Linked DNA regions of Struthio camelus. Each later gene encodes a partner of the first gene's protein in a complex. Links are inferred from orthologs where the notes say so. Each region holds a gene or a part of one and is shown on either strand. Other genes may lie near its edges.

The links. Proteins that work in one complex are often made in the same cells at the same time.
Region 2: the proteins of SEC31A (region 1) and PDCD6 are in contact, whole or in part, in a crystal structure (PDB 3WXA), measured with the Homo sapiens proteins. The link is inferred for Struthio camelus from reciprocal best matches to the Homo sapiens genes SEC31A and PDCD6. Residues at the interface, in NP_001070675.1 of Homo sapiens: Asn837, Pro838, Pro839, Pro840, Pro841, Gly842, Phe843, Ile844, Met845; in NP_037364.1 of Homo sapiens: Val31, Val35, Leu48, Ala51, Leu52, Ser53, Asn54, Gly55, Thr56, Trp57, Phe85, Trp89, Ile92, Gln96, Phe99, Phe148.

What each region holds. Positions count from the first base shown.
Region 1 is NC_090945.1:10,275,287-10,283,203, reverse strand, and holds the start of SEC31A (protein transport protein Sec31A), read left to right. Parts: upstream 1-4,914; 5' UTR 4,915-4,973; intron 4,974-5,574; exon of another isoform or gene 5,575-5,681; intron 5,682-6,729; 5' UTR 6,730-6,733; coding exon 6,734-6,812; intron 6,813-7,390; coding exon 7,391-7,514; intron 7,515-7,917. Other genes in the region: DNA transposase THAP9, read right to left, coding at 1-1,463, 2,303-2,453, 3,263-3,560, 3,897-4,475. UniProt on the Homo sapiens protein: Component of the coat protein complex II (COPII) which promotes the formation of transport vesicles from the endoplasmic reticulum (ER).
Region 2 is NC_090943.1:75,423,930-75,431,837, forward strand, and holds the start of PDCD6 (programmed cell death protein 6), read left to right. Parts: upstream 1-4,904; 5' UTR 4,905-5,326; coding exon 5,327-5,412; intron 5,413-7,908. Other genes in the region: EXOC3 (exocyst complex component 3), read left to right, coding at 1,649-1,776, 2,276-2,447. UniProt on the Homo sapiens protein: Calcium sensor that plays a key role in processes such as endoplasmic reticulum (ER)-Golgi vesicular transport, endosomal biogenesis or membrane repair.

The DNA.
Region 1 (7,917 bases):
GTTCAGCAACAAATCCAGTGGTGCAGGTGATGCTCTGTGCACGTAGCGACAGGTCCGTCAGTGCATTGCTCAGGGCCGAGTCCCGCACAAGAAGGCCTGCGCTGAAGGGGTACTCCGTTGCCAGAGTCGTCCTACGAGCTGGATCGTACTGAGAACGAATGCTGCCAAGGGTCAGCTCTGTCTGGCGGAAGATGGATATATCCAAGGTGCTCATGTCACCAAAGCCACTGCTGTGTTGTAATCCTGGTGCCAAGCTGCAGCTGGCCAGCAGTTTGCAGTAAGCAGCCTGGAACATTGCGCAGGTGGGGTTGCCGCGGCCAACGCAAGCCTGCCTGAGAGCCCGGAGAAACAACTCCAGCTGGTCGAGGCTGAAGGTGTACGTCAGGAGGCAGTGCACAGGCGCGCCTTCTGGAAGCACGTAGTTGGTATGGAGCCACTTGAGGCTTTCAGCATTGAGCAAGATACTCAGAAATCCCAGTTTGCGCTTGCTCTTTATAACGTACCTCCCCACAGAGTCTGTTAAGGTGACAAAGAAACTCTTGGCCTCACTGAAGAGGTGGCTTACTTTGCTGTAATTTCCAGCTAGCAAAGGCCCCTTCAGTCCCCTTCCGTAGGGACTTCTGCCATGGAATACATCGCGCAGACGGCTCATCAAACGCACAAACTTGATGGTACCGCCGCAGTTCTGGAATGCGGCCAGGCCCAGCTTCTGGAGGTGCTCCAGCGCATCAGCAACACCCTCACTGAACAGCTGGGTAGCGAGGTTCACTCTTAAATAGCAATGCTCCTTGCTTTCACGACAGCCTGACCTGGGTCTGCACAGCTCTAATACCCTTTTCTCTTGCAAAGCTGCCAGCTCCACCATGTGCTGCCACTGTGCTGTTTCACTGAGCCACTGTAGCTTCTGGAAGCACTGCAAAGTGTTCCTTATCAGCTGGAGCGCGTGGCAAGTGTCAAAGAAGTACGTGATACAGTGAGCAGAGCTGGGCGGATGCTGAAAAGTGCACTGGATCCTTTCAGGGTCAATACGGATCCCCAGAGCTCGGGCTGTGTCAGCCCCGTGCGCGGTGGCACCTGATGTCACAGACAGCACCGCGATGCCGATGTTGTTCAGCTTATTGATGGTCTGACGAAGCAGCTGAGCAAGCAGGTGGCCGCTCAAGCTGTTCACAAAGAAGTAGCCAAGAGGTGCCCTCCAGGGACTCGCGATGCCTACTGCCATGAGGATTACCGCTTCAGAGGCCAGCGGGGCCTCATCAGCATCCAGGACGCCTGCCCCCAAGTCAACAAAGCCCACCAGATGCTGGGTCTGGGGGTCCCACTCCTGCTGCTTCTGAAGAGCCATGTCTTGTACCATCAACGCGCAGTAACGGTAGGCCTGGTCACCCTCTTCCACCCTTTCCTGAAGGCGGATAAAGATGTCACTGCTGAAGCCCGGAGCGGCATTGTTACTAGACAGCCAACTGGAAAAGAAGAAAGGACACAATTAGGAGTAGAGATTCAGAGAAAAATGAAGTTTTATAATCTCTTCCCTTTTGCAACGCATGGTCCCAAAGTTTCCACTCTGCATAGTCCTGCTGGTTTTGACTTCCCCGCACACTGATGCTTGCCCCTGTCTGTATCGGTCACGTGCCTTCTCTCTCTTGCTCACGCGTGCACGCCCTCCCGTATTTTCTGACTGGTAAGCGGAGTGCTGCAGGTGAAATGAACTGCTCCTTTAACACCGCCTGCTGCTTCTCCTATGAAAAGGACCTTACTAGTTTTTGCTCTTTCTTCCAGTATATGGCCCATTCCCCCAGGGCTAGCTCCCTCTCAGAAGAGTATTCTACTCCACATCACAGGTCCAGGAGTATCATTTGTAGAGTACTCCTTACAGAACGTGGCAAGAAGTGGTGAAACACCTCCTCCTTTTATTATTCCTTCTTCATTCCAGTGAACGCCAAAAAAAAAAAAAAAAGATTAGATACTGTGGTATCTGAGGCCCCAATATCTAGCTTTTCCTCACTCAGGTATTCATTTGGGAGTATTTAGGAAGCTCTGTACTTCCTCAAAGTTGTTAGCGTAATAGCTGTGTTAACTCTGACGGCATAAAGTGTGTGCCTGGAGTCATACCTCTCTCTGAGATACCTGCTATTAATATTTCTTAACGCTTGTTTCCCACTCTGCTTGGTGTTTGGTGTTAGCAAAATGAAGCACGGAGAAACTACTATAGGTGAATGTATTTTCATGATAGATCTCTCTTCCATCAATTTCTAAATAAGTACCTAGAAACCCAGTCAGCATGAAAAAAATATAAACTTGCTTTGTCAGGCTGGAAGGATGAGGCAGGGGAAAAATCTTCCGTAGATAATCATAGGCCTTGTTATGGTAGAGATGGAGAACACAAGCAAATTGTTTCATTTCCAGGGAGTATTCTGTCATCTGCCTCCAGTTCTGTGACTCACAGGGTAAATCTGTTTAAAGAAGTACAAGGTCAGCCTTAGTGAAGCAAGTAAACAGTCGCTACCTTCACAGAAGGAGGGTTAACACAGAAATATTGCAGCATAGGGTATACAAGGCCACGCTACTGCCTCGGGAACAACTGAGTTACGAAGGAAGTTTGACGTGACGCTAGGAAGGCGCAAGTGCTGTTACAGTGCCTCTCATTTTCCTCAGGATAGGTGGTGGCCAGGCACTCTGTCCCCTACCGCAGCTCTGCTGCTTACGCCGCTTGACTCTGTCTGTAACGAGTCTTTCCTTTTTCCTCTCCAATGTCATTTCAAAGCTTTGAGTAGATACTGCATCCTACTTGTGGCTACTGCTTAAAATTTCCATCAAAAGAGAGAAACCGCTAAGTTATGGACTACTGTACAATTTAACTGGCTTCTTCATGTCGCATGACAGACGCAAACTGAGCTCACTTTCTCTGACAGCAGGAAGGACAAGACTGTCCTAATTAAACATCCCCCATCTTTGATTTGTCTGTCAGCTAGATGTTGGTATGAGGTGATTGAACAGTCTTGTTACAGAGCTCACCTGAGCGCTGCACTCACTTCGCAGAGAGGTGTGAGGGTACTTTATCCTTCACTGGATTGGATGTTGTGTTCCGGAACTAAAAATTTCCGCAGTTTTTACTTTGTAATTAAAGCTTATAGTATTGACCCTAGCACTCTAAGAGCCGGGGCTTACCCATGCTATACCGAGCTAAATAAAAACATAAAACTGGAATGAGGCAGTATTTACCCTGAAGCGCTCTTGCCTAGTCAAACGCCCCAAGCAGTACCTGAAAAGTGGGCCTGCAGCAAATTCACGGTTTCCTCAGACAACTGTTTTTTCTCTGCCAGCTCCCTGATGATGCTGGAAATTTTTCTTGGACGGTACGTGGGACACGTCCTTGCTGCAAGAAGCTGCTGCTTCTCAGGCAATGGTTGTACCTCCTTCCTTTCTGCCTGCTGTCCAGCTGCTGCTACAGCATCCTTTAAGCTGTAGTTGTGATCCTCGGCGATGACCTCGTCATCAGAATGGTTGAGGAGAGGCTGCTTCAGTGCCCTTGGGGATGGCCTGTTCCTGGGTCGCGGGTCCTTTAGTGGAGAAGGGACTGAGGGTTAGTGAAGTGATCAAAACGCTGCCAGGGCTTCAGTTCCGTGGAAGCCCAGAGGTGGGGGCTGAATCGGGAAGGGCAGGCGCTTCCCCATGCAGTCCGGTTTGGCAGTTTCACTCACGGGCAAATCAGCAGTGCTTTAGGGGCCGCTTGGCCTTAGCGCTCGGACCGAAAGCACCGCAGAGCGGCAGGCCTTGTCGCTCACTGCCGGGAAGACACACGCACACACCCCTACACACGGGTGAACAGCCCCCTGCCCCCCCCCCCCGGCGTCCGCCTCCCCCCAGAAGGGGAAGAAGGAGAGGGGGGCCGTTACCGGGCGGGGGAAACGCGAGGGCACGGCGCCCCGCCGCAGCTTCCGCCGCAGCCCGTAGCGCTCGAAGTCGGCCTCGGCGAAGTGCCGCGAGCAGAGGATGGCCCCGGGCCCGGGGCTCCAGGCTTGGCGGCTCCGCGGGTCCACGCGGTTCACGGCGCGGATCCACTCGCGGCGCTGCGCGGCGTCCACCGGGAACCTGCGGCACACGGAGAGAGAGGCAGGCGGGGGGGGGGGCGGTGTTGGGTCCCGGCCGCCGGGCCCGCCTCCAGCCCCTCTCCGGCTCGCGCCGGCACTCACTGGTGGAAGGAAATGCCGCGCTCCCGGCTGCGCCCGTTGTCGCGGGCGGTGCAGCCCAGCGCCGAGCAGCTCCGCGTCATGGCGGCTCCCCCGCAGCCCCTCTAACGGCCGCCGCGTAACGGTCGTCCGGCACGCGCAGCGCCGACCAACCGACACCCCTGCCCGGAAACGCGCCTCCTCATTGGCTGCCAGCGCTCCCTCTCCCGCCCCCCCAGCCTGCCCTTTTCCATTGGTTGGCGAGTCGCTTCCCCCGCCCCTTCCCGCTGGGCGCTGCTTTTTCATTGGGCGTAGCGGCTGAAAGGGAAGGCAGGGAGGTATTTCCGTCGCCAGGCTGTGGCCCCGCCCCAGCTGACATGCGCGCAGGGGAAGTGGCGAAGAGTGGCGGAAAGGGGAGGAAGACCACGCCAATCAGCGGCGGGGGCGGAGGAGGAAGCTGCCAATGGGGAGCGGCGCGCCTCGGAGCCAATGGGAGCGCAGCTCTCCGTCCCTATATATATAGCGGGCCGAACACCCACCCTCTTCTTTTTCCCGCCGCTGAAAGAGCAGCGGGTGCGGCGGGATGTGCGGGGCAGCGCGGCCGCCGCCGTGCGCACGGCCTCGCAGCAGCGAGCGGGCCGCGCGCGCCATGGGGCCGTGGGGGGGCCCGCCCTGGGCTCGGCCCCCGCCCGGCGCCTGCTGGGGTTTTTCTGAGGCGGCCGCACGCTGAGGGGCCGCGGGAGCTGGCGGCGGCGGGACGCGGCTGAGGCGCGGGCGAGGCCCCAAGCGCGGCCGCCGAGCGAGGTGGGTTGGGGGCAGCGTGTGCCAGCGCTCCCAGCGACAGGCTGAGCCGCCTCTTCCTCGGGCCGCGAGGAGTTGCGCCAGCGGCGGCGGGCTGCTGCAGAAGAGACGTGGTAGCTGCTGCTCTCGCTCTCCGCGTTTTCGCACGGCGCTGCGGAAGGCGAGGGAGTCCTGGCCTATCCGTGGTCGCTCACGGGGCTGCCCCAATAGAGCCTTTCCGCCTGGTGTCGTTTTAAGTAGCCGGAGCCATGTGAAAGCGCTTCGCCGAAGGCAGGGGTGCTGACGAGCTCCCTTTCCCTGGCGAGGCGGCGCCCCGTTCTCCAAAATACTCTTCTCCTTTCTCCACCTCCTTTCCCCCCCCCCCCAAAAAAAAAAAAAACCTCCTTCCCACGTCGCCCCCACGGGGGCGGCTGAAAGCGCGGCGGGGTCGCGCAGCCCGTCCGATGATGAAGTCTCTGGCTGCTGTTCACATCCTGACGCGCTGTGACGAGTTGCGCTTGAGCTTGCTGAGGACGGGCTGGCAGGAGAGGGGGAGAAAGGGGGCGGGGCGGGGCGGGTAGCGCCGCCGCGCCGGCGGCGGTTGGTGACCGTTAGTGACGGTTGGGCGGCCGCCCCGCCCTGGCGAGGCCGGAAGGCGGCGAGGCGGGGGCGGGGCCGGAAGGCGGCGGCGAGGCGGCGCCGCGGCTGCCACGTTGGAGCGGGCCGCGGCGGGTGAGCGGCGGCGGCGGCGTTGGGGCCGGGGGAGCGGGGAGGGCGGCGGCGGCGGCGGCGGCGGGGCTGCTTCGCGTGATAGTGTCCCTTCCTTTCCCCCCCCCCCCCAAAATATTCCTCCAGGGCCTCCGCCGCGGGCGCGGCGACGGCCTGAGCAAGGCAGGAAATGCCGGCCTGGCTCGCAAAGAAGCCGCTGACCCCTGCGGCAGGCGAGGGTTGCACAATGGGTTTGGAGCGAGCCGTCACCTAGTTGCCCCCTCCCCTTGCTTGCTTGCTCCCCCCTGCCTGCCCGCTCGCCGAGAGGGCGAGGTGCGGAGGGCCCCGCGGGAGCACCGGGCAGCCTTGGGGAAAGGCTTTGCTCTGTCGTGGTGCTGGCGCGCAGCTGCCAGCAGGGCATGGGTGCCGCTTTTTCGATGCCTGTAAGAGAAGGAAGGCGGTTCACGCGGATCTTGCGCCCCGTTTTAAGAGTGGGGAGTGAACGGTTGAAGAGCTGCGTGGGGGAAAAACAATGGGCGCAGGGCTCAAGGATGTGCCCTGAAGGATGCCAGACGCAAAGACAGTCCTGACAGGCTCTGGCCATCCCTGGGCTGTGCTGCAGGTAATCCCACAGAGATGGCAGCCAGCCCGGGAGCGTGCTCTGGTCCTGTCTGGCTGCTCCTCTCAGGTGCCATGGGATGTCCTTGGAAATACGTATCGAGAACAATTCACATGCCATTTCACTGACCGTGGCCCTGAAATAGAGTTAAATTATATGGTGAAGACCATCTTTAAAATCCAGTCCTGCTGGTTGCTGAGAGCGCTTTGCGGTGGCTTTGACAGGCAGGGTTTCATTTCTGATGATAGTTTTTCTGAGGCTTGGTGTTTGCAGTTGGAATGGGACTAGTACTTAAAGGCAGGAGCTGCTGTAAGATCCCTAGTGAAAGCGTGGGACCACTTTCCTTGAAGTGGTTATCTGTGGCTGCTTCTGTTGAGTTCTCATGCAACCTCTAGCTCCCCGTTAACACGTTCTTCCCATGTTGTCTTTAAGAGTCACGTTTTTCTTTTCTAGCAAAATGAAGCTGAAGGAGATAGATCGTACTGCCATGCAGGCATGGAGTCCTGCCCTGCAGCACCCCATTTATCTGGCCACCGGTAAGTTGTTGGGGTGTGGGCCAGCAGACCTTAGCCTACCTGTGGTGGCTGCCATGAGGTGGTTATAAATGAAAGTTATAGTAGTTAGTTCACGCCCTGCAGGTTGAAGCTGCAGTGGAGAATACCATGTAGTACCTCAGAGGCAGTTTTCCAGCCTGTGATACCCATTTATTCCTGGGTTTGATCTTTGTGGTGTGACAACATACTTGCGGCTCTGTAGCCAACAGCACCGGCTCCCTTCTTCCAGGTTAAGGCTACAGCATCCTGCCGTTCGCTGTCCCTTAGTGCTCATCTGGCACGTCCCTTGTTTCTCTGTTGTTAACTGAATTTCTCATACGTAATCAGGGAGAGACAAGCGTTCTCCTGAAGCTTCCCCTTTTGCGCAGGTCAAGAAACGCGCAAAGAGAATTGTGGGGAGGAGAATTATGTAGCGGTACTTCTAAAACAAAACAGAAATCAGACCCCATCTCGGGGTCCCTTTTGTGAGGATGATGCTCTTACGCCCTGCATGGTGCCGCTTTTGCGGTCGCTCCTCTCTGTAGCGTGTCTTTCTCATCCCTGAGCGTATTTCTTCATAGGTACATCTGCTCAGCAGCTGGATGCGACGTTCAGTACCAATGCTTCTCTAGAAATATTTGAGCTGGACTTAGCGGACCCTTCCCTGGATATGAAGTCCTGTGCCACCTTCTCCTCCTCTCACAGGTACGCAGTGGGGGTTGTGAGCGAAAAGTAATGGCTGTGGGACTCTTGTATGGGCTGTGTGCTGAAAAGCCAGCGTGTGAGGTTCGACTGCAGTTTTTCAGGAGAGGAGCAGAGCTTCAGTGCTGAGGGATGGTGTGTGAGTGCCATTGCTGTTCAGAGGGGACAGCGTGGTGTGACAGTGAAGGCAGAGAGCTGGGTCTGCAAGGAGTTGTGACCAGCTTGTATTTTGCTGCGAACCTCACGGTCTGTTGGTTGTATTGGCTCTCTGGAGGCTGCTCCAGTGGCCACTGTTCATTGCCGGTGAGCTGTAACAACCTAGCAGATGGAAGCACGGGATGCTTCGCTGTGGGTAGAGAAGGACCTGAAAATTTCTTGTTGAGCTTAGATCCCGTCCATGACTCTT
Region 2 (7,908 bases), on another chromosome or scaffold:
TATATTTCCTTATTTAACTACATAAGGAGTAGGAAAGGCAGTAGGGCCAACAGATGATCAAAAAAAGGAAAAGAGTGCAGAGAAAGATAAAGCCAGAAAAACTGGGGTGGGGGTTGCAGTGTTCATGTCTGCTCGCTGTAGAAGATGTTGGGGCAGGTCCTATATCAGAATCCTTCATTATGCAGGATTCTTTGCAAGAAATGTTTCAGATTAAGGCATTAATAGATAGAAGAGATTATGGAAAAAATAGACAAAATAGTATCAGATTCCAGGATCGGGTGACGTGGAACTCAAAGTGCTAAAATCATTCAGAGAATATCCAGAATATCTATTTAATAGATACTACAGTTTAGCTGATCTGTTGTTGTAAGCTGCCTTGGTAAATGTAACTGATTGAAAGATGGAAAATGAAGGGTAGGAGGATCAGTTTCATATTGGAGGGAGATCACCAATGAAGTCCGAAAAGGATTTTTTGATGGATCCTGTGATGCTCATAAGTTATCTAAGTTGCACGGTTCCTGAGCTGGCAGGGTACAAGAGTCAGTTGAAAAACTTAAGAAGGTCTAATGATTAAGCAGTGAAACAGCAGGTGAACATGCATCAACTTACAGTTCTAACTTCACAAAAATGATGAGGTCTGAGTTGACTGTTACTGCTCAAGAATAAGATCATAGAATTCAAAAATGTCATCTTAATGCCTCACACCACTCAGAAAAGCAGACAATGTCTGGCAAGGAATAAAAACCAAAATAGTAAACATTCTGCCCCTATAGAAATCTATAATTCATATGCATCTTGTGTGCAGTAAGCTTGTGTGAGGAACAGATGAATACATTACAATCCTTCAGTCAGAAAAAGGTGACTTGTGAGAGAAGGAAATGTGGCAGAGGTCTCTTACAGCGTGAGCATCACAGAGACAGTGAATAACAATTCCATTCTTTTATCAGAGAGATGGTGACCAAATAGGCATCAAATTAATTTAGCCAGTGGCAATTCCAAAAAAATAAAAGACTGTGGTTCTTTCTACAGCATGTGGCTGTGGGAGTTTGAACTACAGAAGTTTATGGATGCCAAAAATTTACAAGAGTTCAAAAAGCAGCTGGATAAATTCAGAGAAGAAAAGTCTATTGCAGCCTATAAACTGGAAATGATTACACCTCTAGCTCATGGATTTCCTAGGCTGCAAATTGGTGGAGGCTTGGAGAGTATTTTGAAGAAGTATTCCTACATTTCTACCCTGTTTTTATATTCATTTTCTAGGCATCTGACTTGTTGCAGCTCTTCTAACAGAGTAAACAAAAGCTATACTATGTGTGTACCTAAGAAAAGAGAATATATTGGTTGGGTCTGTTCAGCTAAAGTTATAAGTGTCAGTTAAATAAATAATGTCTTTACTGGAGATCCAACTTAGTTGAAATATATTTGTAGGTCAAACAGTAAATAATTAGAAACAGAAAAGGGAAGAGACTTAATGGCGAGAACTCAAAACTATTCTGTTTTCTTAATGTCAGAAAATTAAGCAGTTTTGGGAATTAAACAGCATTGTAAGACAAAACACTAATTAAAGGATTGTTTATAGATTTGGGCAGAGGTTGCTTTTGTTGTGTTTTTGGGCTTTTTTTTTTTTGTTAAACTTTTCATCTTGCAGGGATCTGGAGAAGACACTGAAGGACTCTGTGGCATCATTGAAGCCATTGCAGAAGTGATCAAACTAACTGATCCTTCACTACTCTATCTGGAAGTTTCAACTTTAGTCAGTAAATACCCCGATATCAGGTAATTCTCTTCTCAAAGTTAAATACATATATGTGCAGTGTTGTGTGTGTGCCGTATGTCCTCTCTCTACCTCACAGATATTGTTTTAAAATTAGCCTGAAACTGCAAAGTAGCTATATGTAAATATTTTCATATTATTCATATTTTAGAATGTAACCATTTTCTTATGATAAGTGATACTAATGGAGACTGTATATGTTCTGAAATAGGAAGTGCATGTACTTAAGTACTCTGTGGCACAGCAAAGGAATAATGAACATACTCTGTGTTCTGGGAGTATAAAATATATCTTGAGTCCTAAGAGCAGTCACAATGGTGCTTTATATTGAGCTGGAAAAGCTAGTACTGAGTGACCAGAGATCTGATTAAGTACTTGAGGTATTAGAAGTACATAATGAAACTGAGTTGAAGGATTGTGAACTAAAAGCAATATTTCTGACAAAATATTACTTCTATGAAGTTTCTTACTAATGGCAGTTTTATCATTTTCCTTTGGCAGGGATGACCATATTGCAGCTTTGCTCACAGTGAGAGGAGATGCCAGCAGAGATATGAAGCAGACTATCATTGAGACCTTGGACCAAGGTCCAAGCCAACCAAATCCGAACTACATGCCAATTTTTAAAGAAATTACAGTTCCCACTCTAACTGTGCCAAAACTTCTTAAGTAATTGACAATGCTGTGTTTTTGTGTCATTACTGGTCTGGGATCAACAGGTTTGAAATATTTGATGGCAAAATTGGCAATGCTTTTTCAAGTAAAGTTCAATACTGATACTTGCTAGGTATGTTTCTAAGGACTTTTTCATGTGGGGAGACATAGTCACATTTCTGAAAGAAAATAGTGTTAACGATCAGTCAAATTACAGTTTGAAGAATGAAGATTCTGATGGCCAGAATGCTTTTTACTGACCCATCTTACAGCCATATTTGCCATTAGCAAATATATTTTTCTCATGGAATGTTTCTGCACTGTACAGTACAGTGCTGTATGAAGATATTTATACTGAAAACAGCAGAGCTGAATTAGTGCTTAATGCAGACTAAATAGACCTGGATATGCTAATATACATTGCTTACAATACCTGAGCTGACTCTATTAAGGACTATCTTTATATGACACTGCACTGGGCATATATTAACATCTTCAATTCACTTTCACATTGTACTTTGTGTATGTATTTACTCTGATGTAAAATAGTTTATTTCAGAAAACGTAATTATAAAATCAGTTTCCTGACTAAGGGGTTGAACAAAATTGCTAGCATGCAATTTGATTATAGGGTGAATAAACAAATAATTAAAAAATACTTGAGGTACAAAAATAATTTTTCATTGATTCACTAAAAATGGCACATAAAGCATCACCAATTCAATAAAATGTTAAAACTATTGCTACCTACAGCAGTGTATTCTTTAAATCCTAATAGAATTACAACAGATCTCAATCATCTTCTCCCCCCCCCCCCGGTTGTTTAAAGCGTAGAGCAGCTTTGTGCTCTATGTGTGAATAGTGCTTGGATTTCATGTTTTTCTCAAAACTCAAGATACATTCTTATATCCCACAGTAATTTCAGATTAATGCTTAAAGTTAATTTCCAGTGTTATCGGTCTAATTATAGCATATGACTGGAAAACTGCTGAATTTAAATGTTTTCAAGGAAGGACATAATGAAGGCATTGCCTTTGAATACCTGAACACAGTTGTCAGACAAGTACAAGGAAGGCGCAAGCCTACTTTGCACTAACTGATGGTCTGGAGTTCACATTAACTTGTGCTTAGCCTGTAAACACACAGACCTTGTGCTATTTGACCCCTCTCACTGTCTCCTTCTTACCCCAAAAGAGATGCGAGGTCATCAGTTTGGATAGAGGGTAGAACAAAGATTGTTAGTTTTTTTTGCTTGTTGTTTGTTTTCTTCCATTGACTGTATGAATGTGTCCCAGAGGACCAGGATGGTTCAGTAGCCTGTCAGGTCTGGGTGCTGTGAATCCTAATACTGTACCTAGGAATTGCAGGTACTGGGAGGGGAATGGATTTTTGGATGGCCAGTCTGTGGCCTAGTGAGTTAAGAACTACTGAGGTAATATTGACTAATTTTGTTTGCATTTCAGTGTCAATCCCATGACTGTTGGGATGTACCTGAAATTCTTGTCCTGTGTGACTTTGATCTTCAGTATATCCAAGGGAATCAATTAACCTGTTCTTTTTTCCTCCATAAACTGTATGCTGCTTCTGCAGAAGTAACCCTGTACATCTTGAATGTTAGAATTGCACTATTTTTTCCCAAAGACAAACCAGTTTGCTTGGGTAGAGACCCCTTAGTTTCTTCTTGTCTAGAATAGAAAGATCAAAGGGACTGCTAATGCTCTCAGACACTTGGTCTCATGATGCATATTGTGTAAAGGAATGCTATTAAATTGTGAACGTAGACCCCCTGCATGCTGCCAGTGCCTGCTCAATGAAAGCTGAAGCAACGGGTGCCTTCTCTGTGCAACAGTTCCAACATGCTCTGCAGAGTACTGCTACCCTGACCTCCATTCATATCTTCATTAAGCGTTACGCTCTTGATAAAGGTTTCTGAAGGAGCAATGCTGCATTTGGCAAGGCTGCCCATCAGTATCTGCTTAATTAGTGTCTCTGAGGTCCCTCTGTCATAGGCTCTCAGCAGAGTACTCCATGGAATCACCTGTAATGTGAAAGTCCATTGAGACAGTCATTCAAAGGACAGAGTTCATTAACTTGTTCCATCTTACAGATCTGTTGTTCTCACCGATTTCTTACACACTTGAAACCATTCCAAAACAGGAATGCTGACATGTTTAATTAACATACAGCACCTTCAAAAAGCCAGACTCCTGGGGAACCTTGGAGCATGGCTCACTTCAGTCTCCCGCTCCTGGGGCATCCGCCGTTCAGGGGAGAGGCTGCAGGCAGCGGCTGTGCAGGGAGCAGGGCAGGAGGCGGGCAGGCGCTCCCCGCACAGAGATGGTTCTCCCGGGGAAGAGCAGGGAGCTTTTGTGCAGGCCTGGTCCAAACCCGTCAGAATTACTGAGAGTGACCCGTGTTCGGGACCATCTTCCGTATTTTCACCCCAAATAGCAGTGTCCCCGCCCCCAGGCGCTGTCACATGAGGGAACCACCCGCGAAGCGGGAGCCGTGCCCCGGCCCAGCGGGAAGGCCGGGGCTGGTCCCGCAGCTCCCAGAATTCACGGGCAGAGAGGCCCGCCCCGCTCGGCTGGGCTCGGCCCGCCCGGCCGCTACCGTCCGCGGTAGCCCCGCCCCTGCCCAGGCGCGGCGCGGGCGGAGCTCCCCGGGCGACCGCGGCGACAGCTGTCCCCTGGGAAAGGGAAGCGCCGCCACAGCTTCTCCTGGGACTCCCCCGGGCGCCGCCCTCTGCTTCCCGCCATGGCTCTGCGCCTGCCCCGCTCGTGACATCACGGACCGCACTGCGTAAGCGAGCGCGTCCCGGAACTGCAGGGAGGAGAGTCCGAGCTTCCCGTCCGCGGAGGGTTCCGCGGTGCCAGGGCGCTGTGGCGAGGTCGCGGCATGGCGGCTGGGTATCATTGTAGGCCCAGCGGCAGCGGCGGGGCTGGGCTGGCCGATCCGAGCTTCCTGTGGAACGTCTTCCAGAGGTGAGGCCGGGCGAAGCGACCTGCGCCCCTGCGCCGCACCCCTCTCGGCCGCCGCCCCTGCGCGTGCGGCGCGTACCCGTCGCCCCGCGCTGAGGTGGCCGCCGCGACCTCGTCTGCTGCGGGCAGCGCCGCCCGCGGGCGGTACGGTGCTGGCCGGCAGCTCCAGCCCTGCCTGTGCGGAGGGGAGCGGCGGGGCCGGCCCGAGTTTGTGGGCGCCGGCCCGGACGGCGAGGGGCGCAGGCCGGTGTGGCGGAGCGAGGGCAGCGCGGCCCGCAGGGGACGGGGCTGCGGCTCCTAAGGTGGCGCTGGGGGGCTGGGAAGTGCCCGGAACCTCCCGCGGGCAGCCGCGGGAAGCTGTAACTGCCCCGAGGTTTCCAGCGGGAGGAGCTGCAGTTCGGGTGCTTCGGGGCCTGTCGGGGCGCGTAAGCATCGCGGTTATGTCCCTGTAGCAGTAACCTGAGGGAATGTACCGAGACGCTCGAGAAAAGGTATAGCTCAATTTTAGAGTAAGGAAAGGTGACATAATAGATGCAAGAAGGTAACCTGAGAAACGTTGAAGTTATTTGTGAACTGAAAAACTAGAAAGGATTGTAACCTCTGGAGGGTAAATGTAAAAACATGAGAAGGCTCGTAAAAAGGAATGTGATGAATGCTTATAGCAAAAAGCTTAAAAACTGATGGTGAATCCAATATGTCATGAGCAGAAACTGCCAGAGAGTCAAGGAACGGTATTAAAAGAAGTACTGATGTTGAGACCATAGCAGTAGTGAAGGTAACTGGGTTCTTCACGTCCGTGTCCTGTGGGAGAAACTGGGGATGTTTCGACATTGCATGTGTTTTTGTGGGAGATGTGTTGGAGGATCTATCTTGACTAATGATTGCAAGAAGAGGTTAAGGAGTAGACAAAATGAACAATAATTTGCTAAAACTGGGTAGTATTTACTTAGTAATTCCTGAGTGACTCAGGAATGTGATGGCTTACCTGTCAATCCTTGCATAAAACCACTTTATCTGAGGGCTTGGAGGTGGCAAGCATGAATGCCGCTTCTTTTTTAAAGGATCCAGAGAGAAACAGAGGAGCAATCTGACTGTTGTACCAGGCAAACCAGTAAGAACTATTGTAAACAATGTAGCTAGTGGGAAGAGTTGCATGGCTTTTGTTGAAAAAATTCCTATTTGTCAAACTACTATATAATTCTTTGAATATATTGCATAAGGATTCGGTATAGATATGGATAGAACTAGTGCAGTTGACATCTGCATAGTTTCCCAAGAAGTTTTCAACAGTGTTGAGTATCACAGGCCTTTAAAGAAATATTATTAGCTGTAGAATAAAAGGGAGTGTCCTTTGATGGATAAATAGCTGACTAAAAATAAGAATATATGGTCATCTATCACACTGATGGATGAAGAACTTCTGGAATCTTCACGCAGCTTGTTCATATTCAACAATGAAGGTAAAATAAGTAAAATGGAGGTGAATGATAAGATGAAATTTCTTGGATACACTAAGTCCTCACTCTTACTATAAAAATTACTGTCAAGGCTTGCAGGAGCACCTTATAATATTGATTGACTGATTTTTAAGAAAGATGATGGTCATATAATAGTCAATGAAATCCAGAATAGATATGGGAAGTACTGGAGGAAGAACCACTTAACTTCACATAATTTTATGTATAAAATAAATGTTCTTTAACCTGACTGATGTTCAGGACCAATTTATAGGCCTAGGTAGATTATAACACATTTTCATGAACATGTCAGCTTAACACTCGATAGCAGCTCATAAAAGGTAAAATAAATGTTAGGAATTATTAGGAAAGAAATAAGAAATAAAAACAGGGGAATATCTTTTTGCTACCGTAAAACCTATGCAACGTGAGTATTATTTGCAGTTTAGATCTTTTCCCTGCCTCAGAAATCATGTGGTAGAAAGAGTTTAAAAAGCTTTGAACAAGGCAACAAAGAATAAGTAAAATAGCTTCTACAAAAGGACCAACTATGCATGACTCTGCTTTGGAATGGAAATAACTGAGGAGAAATAAAAAACGGTCAGTGGCATGGGGAATGTGGATTATTGATTCTACTCCAGGAAAAGAAGTAGGAAGCATCAAATTAAGCTGGTAGGGACAGAACTGATTAACTTAGCGTTCCTCATGCCTACCCCTAAGTGAGGTTTGCCATTTTATAGGACCTCTATCTTTTCTCTGCTTAAAAGTCATCCAAAACTAGCCCTAGTCACTAGGCTTTAATTTGTGTTTTCTATGACCTAAAAAGGTATTATGCCCTTCCTCTTCCCCTTAACTGCCTAAATGCGGCAATCTTCCGAAACTAAACGTGAGTTTGTAGGTTTGAGCCCCGCCCCACCCCTCCCAAGTGGAGGGTGGAGACAAACAGGTCTCGAGTGCCCACTCTAACCACTACAGGCCTTGTACACAGAGTGGAAGGAAGCCACCTATCACCTTCAGCTGTCCTCCTAAAGAAGGACCTTGC